Caenorhabditis elegans: one gene and its partner. The protein of the gene in region 1 purifies or fractionates together with the protein of each later gene. This does not show direct contact. Each region holds a gene or a part of one and is shown on either strand. Other genes may lie near its edges.

Evidence for each region.
Region 2: the proteins of K02E10.7 (region 1) and rnp-5 fractionate together in Caenorhabditis elegans (co-fractionation; one large-scale study listed by BioGRID). This does not show direct contact.

The regions. Positions count from the first base shown.
Region 1 is NC_003284.9:2,500,381-2,507,125, forward strand, and holds K02E10.7 (Protein kinase domain-containing protein), read right to left. Parts: upstream 4,778-6,745; coding exon 4,553-4,777; intron 3,986-4,552; coding exon 3,866-3,985; intron 3,821-3,865; coding exon 3,760-3,820; intron 3,567-3,759; coding exon 3,451-3,566; intron 3,398-3,450; coding exon 3,230-3,397; intron 2,911-3,229; coding exon 2,674-2,910; intron 2,618-2,673; coding exon 2,384-2,617; intron 2,332-2,383; coding exon 2,266-2,331; intron 2,215-2,265; coding exon 2,047-2,214; intron 2,002-2,046; coding exon 1,879-2,001; intron 1,832-1,878; coding exon 1,717-1,831; intron 1,178-1,716; coding exon 981-1,177; 3' UTR 607-980; downstream 1-606. Other genes in the region: rabr-1 (RAB family), read left to right, coding at 3-100, 172-270.
Region 2 is NC_003281.10:852,143-855,760, reverse strand, and holds rnp-5 (RRM domain-containing protein), read left to right. Parts: upstream 1-1,851; 5' UTR 1,852-1,852; coding exon 1,853-1,935; intron 1,936-1,982; coding exon 1,983-2,624; intron 2,625-2,676; coding exon 2,677-2,821; 3' UTR 2,822-2,960; downstream 2,961-3,618. Other genes in the region: tag-51 (uncharacterized protein), read right to left, coding at 351-977, 1,028-1,331, 1,378-1,522; moma-1 (MICOS complex subunit MIC27), read left to right, coding at 3,365-3,618.

The DNA of each region.
Region 1 (6,745 bases):
AGGGATAAACTGCGAAGAAGCATTTCACACTTTGACAGCTGCAATGAGAGAACGAATAACGGCTGGCAGTATGCATTCGGATGAGTCGGATGACAACGAGGTTAGTAAGACAGACAATATCCGGATGCAATTTATATGCTAATTATCTTTCAATAAATATGCCATTTTTAGGAGTTTTCATCGGCCTTCCACGTTGACGGAGTCATCAAAAGCGATAAAGGGAAGTTCACATCATGCTGTGCAAGTGCTCCGGAACCCGCCTTTGTCTGATTTAAACCTTGACTTAAACATATCATTCATTTAGTCATTCATCACAATCTCGATAAAACACTTCGATCATTTGATAATCTTTTTTTTTAAACGTGCTTTAATTATTTTTAAGTGTGCTTGTCAAAACCATTTCAAGGTGCTCTGCCGTTATGTGGTGCAATTAAAAAACCCCCTTAACATTTGTATGCTTCTTACTTGTTAGCACAATATTTTTTCCCTCATCATCTTTTTTTACATTGGTCATTTGCACTTTCATGACGTCATTGGAACGTCACTATGTTTTATCTTGAATTCTCCAATTTCGGGTATTAAGTTTAAATTTACTATTATGATTGATAAATTGTAATTTTCAAATATTTATTTTTATACAATTCACAGAGAGAAAAAAGAGAGATGGAATATATGGATATGAGGTTGCAGCATACGATACGAAAAAATATTACTTTTGGAATGTGTTGTACAACGCAGTAATAGCTACAATTAATCATGAGAAATTGGAAAAATGTGCATATATTGAGATGGGTAGAAATTTTTTTTAATTGAATAATAGAAATCGATTTTCTTTTGAACATTGAATTGAATTAATTACTCGAAAAGGTTGCACGCTTTCAACTTATTAACAGAGCAAAAAATGTCATTTACATACAAAGCGATACATAGAAACAAAATTAGAACTTATGAAAACAAAAATCTCGTCTAAACTTTTATTTTCAATTGTCCGAACCCAACCCAGAAGAACCAGATCCAGAAGTTGACTGTCGTCGAAAACGTTTCACAATTCTCCGGTATCCAGAGGTTAGAACTCTTATTGAACCTCTACGGAAGCGAGTCATTGCGGATGCACGTCCACCGTCATTTCTGTAGACAAGAGAGAAGAAACGGAGATTGAATTGATCCTCTGCGCCATCTGAAACGACATAGCAACATTAAATAAGAAAATTATTGAAACCCATTCTTATGATGCTAAAATGATCAAATACCATAACAAATTTTTTCTAAAAAATTTTGAACATTTTTCAAGAGGTAGTGAAACTCACTATGTTGGCCACTTTTCAATAAATCTAAAGCAATGTAACTGGTTTGAACCTATAATATATAATTAGAACATACAACCAATTTTCCAAAATATTTTGAAACGTTTCGTTGTATAGCTAAACAATGCTCTCGACATTTTTGGTTTAAAATTAGAAATCTTTGCTGCAGACGAATTGTGTTTGAAAACAATTAGAAACTTGAAATTACGGTAGTCGACAAAAAAATATTTTTCGGAATGTTGTTAAAGGTGGAGTAACTGATAAATGGTCATTTTAGCAATTTTAGCCATTTTTAGCAATTTGATTTTTAATAATTTTCCCCACTATTAATTCTGAAACTCTGTTTGAGCCATTAAACTTCAAACATTTTTTTTAAATCAGAATTTCTATTATTATCTAAATTCCAACTCACAATAAATCACTTCTTCACTCTCCACAGCTTCTGCAATCAGCTTATAAAGACACTTATCCTCGTCGTGATTCAAAGCATCAGTTCCAGCTCTTCGACATCGCATGCAAATTTTTATCTGAAAATCATACAGATTTTAAAACTACCCAAACAAAACACTCTCACCGCCAGATTTTCCCAGACACGTTCGGCTTCCTTTTTGCAATAGTAGAGCTGAACTTGCTGTTTGTTCGTGAACTTTGGCATGTTTCGAGCAACTTCAATCTCGGTGTTTTCTCTGCGGAAGTTCTGAAGAAAAAAAACCATAAGATGACAAAAATAATTATATCCTACCATAAGTGCGTAATCTCCAAAATCCGAATCAACTACAGTATCTTGATGTGATCGGAAGCGCTTGATCGTCTGACCCAAACGGCTTTTTATTATGCGATTGAAAATTGACGAAGAGGCAATTTCATCTTTTGCTGGAATGACGATTCTCAAGCACATGCTTCCGTCTCTCTGAAAATATCAGTTTCGTTCTCATCGTAATTCGTAAATAAAAAAACATACCAGTTTGCATTTCTCAATGCGAGTGATGTCATTGTCCCACTCCTTACGGACGTTTTCCATTGCAAACTGGAAAATATTTCTGTTTTTTTGAACACCATTTAAAAATTTGTGCACAAACCACTGCAAACTTTTTGTGATATTTTTTTGGCACAGGTTCAGTCAAGACTTGTTGCTCTCCAGAGACAGCTGGCTCTTCTGGATGATCTGATGCTACACTTTTGTAGCCCTCATCTAAGGTTTCGATGGAGATTTCTGAGCCGTCTCTCTGAACTGTGCTCTTTTCCAGGGACTCTGCCGGAATGAATCTATCAACTACTGGCAACTCTCTAATGAGATCTTCATGACATGAAATCTGGAATACTATTATAGTAGCTAATGCTGTTTTGAAATGGTTTTTTTTAATCTTACAAAATAGTTCCAAACTAGGTCAGAAGTCATCCAATCATCTTCAATTAAAGATTTAAGTGACATGCGTTCAGATGGGTTTACATGAATCAGCTGTTCCACTAGCGATTGAATTTTGTCACTGGCAAGAACGGGGGAACCTAGGATACCAGCTTGAATACTTTCCATCATAGTGTTGCGGCTTTCCAAAATGAACGGACAAGATCCAGTAGCCATAACAAAAATGCACACACCCAAACTCTGAATAAATGGGGATTTTGTTTAAGTACATTTATTACACTCCAAACATTTTTTAGATTTCTTAAGAATTTCCAGTCAAAGTTTTGGCAAGGTGCTGATTTTGAACTTTTAAGAAAATCCAGAATGTCTTTACACGAGCAATTTAAACTAATATAAAGTTGAATATTGTAGAACTTTTTTTTTGGTTGACTTCCAAAAATATAACTGGCAAAATCTAAGTAATTGTCACTTTTTGACAGTTGTTAAAAAACTTCCCAAGTTTTTTTAAAAGTGTAACTTTGATATTTGGTCCTTTTAGCACTATAAGAGTAGTTTTTACCCATAAATCGCATTCAGAAGTCACTTCTGATAACTGATTGTGCAATTCTGGAGCAATAAATGGAAGAATGTGCAGTGGTGTTTGGCTGAATGGGAGCCAGTTCAAAAATTGGGAGCTTTCAATATCCGAAATTTTGACCATATTTTCTTGCAAGAAAATATTCTTTGTCTGCAAAATCGTTGACCTATTGCGTATATCACTAATTTTTCCGAGTTTCTTACATGAAGCGTCCCATGGCAAAGATTTTGTGCATGCAAATATTCGAGAGCTCTTGTGGCTTGTACCAATACAAGCTTAGTCTGGGACTCGTCGTACTTGCCTTTGTCCAAAATGTCGTCTGAAAAGATTAACATTTAGAGAATGAAAAGATACAATAGTAGAAAGTAATCCTACTATTCGTTCGATCAATTTTTTCGAAGTACACACGTTTTTCTGCAACTAATCAATGTTACTCACTAACTCTATTTTTGAAAAGTACATTATAGTGGTGGAGTAGCGAAAATGTTGAAACTTTTTGATACATGCCTTACCGTGTAAAGTCCAAGAATGGAACTCCATTACTTTATACACTATATCTTGAAAATGAGAAACCTGAAAAAAAAAACAATAAGTACAAAAATTTCAAATATCAGTCACCGAGAAAGTCTGTACAATAGCCGGATGCTCGATAGAAATTATTTTCTGAAGAGTGGAGCCTTCATCGTGTGCAGTTAGCACGGCATCATGAAATGTTTCGTGATACTCTTTGATTGCAACCTTGAATTCAATTTTGAAATAACGACACTAAAACAGCTGAAAGCGGTCAAACGTTGTAACACCTGCTCAATTTTTTGACCTTGGATTGCACTTTTAATAGCGTGTGCAAAAAATGTTAAAAATAATTATAAACCAAAGCTCTATAGGTATTTTGAACTAAAAGGAACTGAAGAATACATATAATTGTATAGAAACACTAGTGAAAAATGTGTATTTTTTAGCTGTCCATCAGGGGTTTAGCAGCAGAATATGCAATATTTTAAGAAATTTTGATGATAAATTCCGTAATTTCCTTACATTGTTTTATTATAAAAGTTAAAAAAGGTATGTACTGATCACCCATTTGCCGGAAATTTTCATTTTTAGCAAATTGCCGAATTGTCGTTTGCCGGCTATTAATTTGCCGGAAATTTTTAGAGGAATTTGTTTTAATTTTTTTAATGTGCAAAACCACAATTTTCGGCAAATTCGGCAAATCGGCAATTTGGAAAATTGCTGATTTGCCGGAAATTTGCATTTCTACATTTTGCCGATTTGCCGTTTGCCGAAAATTTTTTTTGTACATACCTGTAACATTGAATCCGTAATAGTTCCTAAGAAGACTGTACCAAAACGACCTGATGCGATTTTGTCACTGATTCCCGTCCCATTCACGACGTTGGACAGGCACGTTAGTTCCACTGGTCTTTCAATAACACTTTCAGATGCATGGTCAATGGACATACAGCATTTTTGGAGTTCCATGGGTATGTCTAATTCTTGGTTTGAGAGGAACATACATTCCATCTTCATCTGAAAGTTTTAGTAAATATTACTTTAAGCTAGTTTACGCAAATATTGTTACGGAAATCAGAAATTATTTTCTCTCGTGCTCCAGTTTTAAACGAACTTGATTTTGAGTTTAAATAGCGAAATAGAGTGGTTTTGAACGATGAAAATAATGACTATTCAACGAATCTATCCTATTAGCACCAATTTGTCGTATTTCTAATATGTAAAACGATGGATTACAAATGCAAGCTTTTCAGCTTCAGTAGAAAAGATTACGAAAAGCTGTTGCAAAGTTGAACTTAGGGCATAGAAGTATCAAAACACAAATGTAAGTTTTTCAGTTTCAGTTCATGATTAATACTCTAATTTCGACAAAATGAGACGTTTTTGAATTCTGTGCTCAACATCGCTTCAAGAAACAGATTAGAAGCAGATTAGAAATTGTATCGTCTTACTGTAGCTGACGCAGAACTAGTAAAGTTACTTAAGACCTTGGATATAATATTGAGATAAAATGTGCACTTTTCGCTTCGCAAAATTCTAAAGTGCGGGGACATTGTTCAGGAAATATTTGAGAACACAACGAATATCTATAGTGACGGCGCGCTTCTTCACCATTTTCCACTTTAAAATCTCCGCCTACATTTTGTGTGAAGCACGGTGAAAAAGCACACATCAACATTCAATGCTCCAACCCGCGAAAAAACACAAGGAAGTTGAACGGAAATAAAAAAGAAAATGTAAAAAATGCAATCCAATATAAATTTTAAAAATTGGTCATAACTAGGGTTTACCTCATTTAACTTGAAACAAAAAAAAATAAAAAATAAAAAATTTTTTTGCAAAGTTTAATTTTATATCTGGTCATTTCAGCTCTTTAGGAATTCAGCCATACTTTTACTTTGCGCAGTTTTCACAAATTACTAGAAAAGTTAGTTTGACGACATAAACTTTTGAGTGTGCTACCCAGCAATTATTCCAGCTACAAGAAGAGAAATATTGATCGTATTCAAAATTTCTACTTACTGTGCTAAAGTAAAAATAGGAAAATAGGAATATTTTTTTAATACTTTTAAATATTCATTTAAAATGGTGGGGATATAATACACAAGTACCAAACAAATTTCAGCAAACCGCACTATTTTAAAGAATAAAGCAATGAAAACAAGAGAAAATAAAATTGAACTCAAAAGCATATGTGCGAATGACGATGGGATCAAGTCAGAAAGTGCATACTCGGCGGGGTTGATGAAGAAAGAAGGCTGTTTTATTGAAATGAGTAAAACATAGTTCTTTCACTTTTTTGTGTGTCTTGGCTAACGACGGCTGCTGGCCAAATAAGAGGGATGATGCGGATGCACTTTTAAGAGAGCACTAACATTTTTCTCTTCTTTCAAGAATGTAGCTTATCTTGCACTGATGTTTGGAATAGATTCTGACTCATGTGTCCTATAATTATTTTGATTCTGCTTTTTCAAGGTACATTTGAATACAAATTATATAGTTAGAGCAGAAACATTTTCAAGCACAAAATTTTAAAACGTGAGCGCAAGTGAGTAATCAAGTAATCTAACATTCGGGTCAATGACTGCTTCGATAAAAATGAAGATGATGAGAGACATTGAAAGTGCAACGGAAATTGTGACGGGTCAAGGGGGGAGTAGAAAAAAAGAAAGAATGACAGATGGGAGCATGTCTTTATGCGTTTCCAACTCACAAGAGGATTTTCGAACTCTCACTAAAAATTCAATGCCACAAGCACATTTCACATCGTTCTGAGAAGCAGGAGTAGCGGGAAGCATGATTACAAAATTGAAGTGTGATCCACGAATTTCCTAGAAAACAGCTTAATATACGTGCAAAAAAAGGTGCAAGTTGTGGCGAAGATCTTTCACCTCAGTTCTTCTCATTGTTCGTAAGGGCGTTCGTGGCTCTTGGAGGTACCCTAAAGCTAAGGCGATACAGATTTCATATTTAAAATAAAATATT
Region 2 (3,618 bases), on another chromosome or scaffold:
CTGCTAAATATTTAGCATACCCAACTTTGGTCTGCTAAACATATAGCATACCTAACTGTGGTCTGCTAAATATTTATCATACCTAACTTTGGCCTGCTAAATATTTAGCATACCCAACTTTGGTCTACTAAATATTTAGCATACCTAACTTTGGTCTGCTAAATATTTATCATACCTAACTTTGGTCTAAATGTTTAGCTGACCAAAGCAGACAGACTGTCTCGATTTATTGAAGGAGAAAACGAAAAGAGAGGTAAATTTGCTGTTTATTGAGCGAAAAATTTGGATCTGCCAAGCATTCGTTTTGGGCCTGCTAAATATGAAACTCTGGAATCCAGCGGAAAACTGACAAGTCTTCATGCTGATCACACTGGTTGCGAATTTTACACGCAAGTTCCACAGCTGTCACACATCCAGCTCCAATATCATCTGACTTGGATTCCTCTTCTAATCGCTGAGCAGTCACCAAGAATCCTTGTGCATTTCCATTACTCCTATCGTACTTGGAAATCATTTTCCAAAATTGAAAAATTCGTTTTCCACGTGGATTTGTCGCTTGTGGAGTAAAAATTGAATAGAATTCTTCCATTTCTTCCTGGGAGCTGGACCAGTTGAATGCAATAGCCACATTGAGTGCTTCGTTTAGAAAATAAAAACCGTCTCCTTTGACGTGAAGAGCGCGCATTTGAAGAGTATTCGCATGGGCGAGTTGTACAATTTGTTCATTTTGAAGTGGAAATGTCCAGTTTTCTAGAACCGTCTGAAGTGCGAAGCTGCTAGCTTCTGGTGCTTGAATAAACGAATCTCGCTCTTGAAATATATTCTTAATGTGCTCCGTCAGAAGGTCATGCCGTTTTTTTGCACTATATCGAAAATTTCGCAGGTGTCGATGATTTGAGAGAAGATTTTCGAGTCCTTCGCGGTATCCAATGAGGAACAGGTGAAAACAACCAAGGCGCTCTTGATTCACAGTTTTTCTGAAAGAAATTTCCATTGAAAAGATAAAATTTTAAAAAAAATCACTCACTGGACGACTTCATTTGCGAATTTCCTCTGTCCTACAGTGGCGAGCGATGTGCTGGCATACTGAGCAAGATTCAGATGTCTTGTAACTTCTGATAAATTGTTCAATACTGATGGAAGATTTCCGGCTTGTCCCACATCTCTCGAAGCCGCAATTGCTGCGACACGAAGCGGCCCATCCGTCTGGCTCAACTCAAATCCTTGATGAAGAAGTACTCGAGCGTACTTCTCGACGATTCGAGAACAATATCCACGTTTTCCAGAAAGTGGAGTGATGAATTCGTCAAGAAGCCTAAACCATCTTGGTTCTGCAAAAGAATTTAGTGCTAAAATACTTTTTTGGGAAAAAATTACCTTTTGTTTCAAATGCTTCCATCCATCGAAACTGAATTTCACGCTGATCAGCGTTATTATCGAAATTTTGGAATTCTGCAGAGTCGATATATTTGATTTCTGGGAGCTCTTCTTCTTCTAAAAGTTCAGATTCTGCAGAGTCCATTTTGAAATTGAAAAAAAAAACGAAAGTGTTTTGTTTTGCAACGACACTCCGATATTCCACCGCGCGCGTTGTTTACCGTAAATCATTCACCCGCGTCTCTTCGAAAAATGATTCGATATTTTCAATTCTATAGTTTTTCTATAGGTTTTTTCTTGTTTTTCAATTAAAAATTTATTTGAAAATCCGTAATTCTTGTTTTTGGTTAATTATTTACTCAAAAAAGTAAGCGCTTTAGCCAACATTCTGTCTCTTCTTCTGCTCGAACACCACGCGGTGAAAATTTTCTTACTTAGTTGATGTCTATTCGAGTATATGAAATAATTTTTCAGTATGGTTGAGAAAGAAGAAACCAAAAAGAGGGCTCGCTCGTCTTCAAGCAGCTCGTCCAGTAGCTCTGGATCGTCATCTTCTGGGTATGCTTTACAATTTTCATACAATAGCTTAATAATCGATATTTCAGAAGTAGTTCATCAGGATCTCGCTCCTCCAGCTCATCGTCCAGTGGCCGTTCTCGTTCTCGCTCACCACGTCGTCGTGATACCCGCCCACCAGCTCGTGGAGGACGCTCTCGTTCTCCAATCCGTCGTGGTTCACCGCCAAGAGGAGCACGCGCGGATCGCGATCGCCCAATGCGACCATCACCATCACCACCACGTCGCCGTCGTCCATCCCCATCGCCACCACGTCGTGATCGTCGTGACAGAAGCGGGAGCCGTCAGAGGAGACGCGCTTCTCCGAGGAGAAGCCCAGCAGCAAGATCAGCCAGTCCGGCCAAGCGTGTAGTGATCAAAAATTTGAGCAGAAATGTTCTGAAAACGCACCTCGAGGAGATTTTCTCGATCTACGGAGCCATCAAGAATGTCGATCTTCCACCAGATCGCTTCCATAACCATGTTCATCGTGGATATGGATACGTTGAATATGACAATTTGGAAGACGCCGAAAAGTCGATCAAGCACATGGATGGAGGACAAATCGATGGAATGGCTGTTCACGTCGAAATGACTATCGGACGACAATCTGTCCCATTCCAGCGTAGAAGTTCTCCATTTAGAAGACGCTCGCCGCCACCAAGAGACAGAATGTCACCAATGAGAAGAGGGTAAGTAATCAAGGAAAAGTAGTATATTTTGATAATTTTCATCAAATTCCAGAGGCCGCAGTCCACCACCACATCGCAGACGTTCTCCAATGGGCGGCCGTGGCTCAGGAGCCAACAATATGCCACTTGGAGGGCCCAACAGATTCCGCCGTGCCAGCCGCTCTCGTTCTCCAGCCGGCAGAAGATCGCGTTCTTAAACTTCCATTACTGACGTTCCATTTTAAAACCCCATTCTAAACTGTCCAAATTCTGAACATCCTTTGTTTATTATTCTTCTGTTTTGTTATGCAAAAGATCTCCCCAATTTTCGTTTTTTTAATAAATTATTTTGGGTGTTTTAAGGGTAATTTGGATTGGTTAAAGACATGGTTAATTGCCTGTTAATTATCTATTTTAATTTTAAAACCGTCCTCAGAGGGGTTTAAATGTTAGAAAATATTTAAAAAAAAAACAAGAAAGCCTGGCGCGAAATATATAGTAGCGCAGGCGTCGGTGTCGATTTATGAAAAAGTGGTAATTAAATACAAAGAAAATCAATTTTAAATAATTGTTTAAAGGCGCATCGTGAATAAACACAAACTCCGTAAATCGACACAGAGCCTGCGCTACGAGATATTTTGCGCCACAAATGTAGGAATACTTATTTCTTCATGGTTTTTTAATAATTATAATAAGCTAATCAATTTTAAAATATTTATTCTTGTTTTATTATTTTATTGTTTTACCGCTTGATTTTCCAGATGACACAAGACAAGCCGATTGTGGAGACAATTTCAAACGCCGGTGAACAAGTGACAAATGTTTTTGGACAATTCTGGCAACTTGTCACCTCGAAAAACACGACGAATAATGGAGATTCAAAACCTATTAAGATTGAGCAACTTCCGATTTATGCTGAAGATAATGCTCCACTGAAGCAGAAATTCCTTCCAGAAGAGCCACTTCCTCTTCAAAGAGAATTCGCGACTATTCGTATCGCATGTGAGCAGGAGTA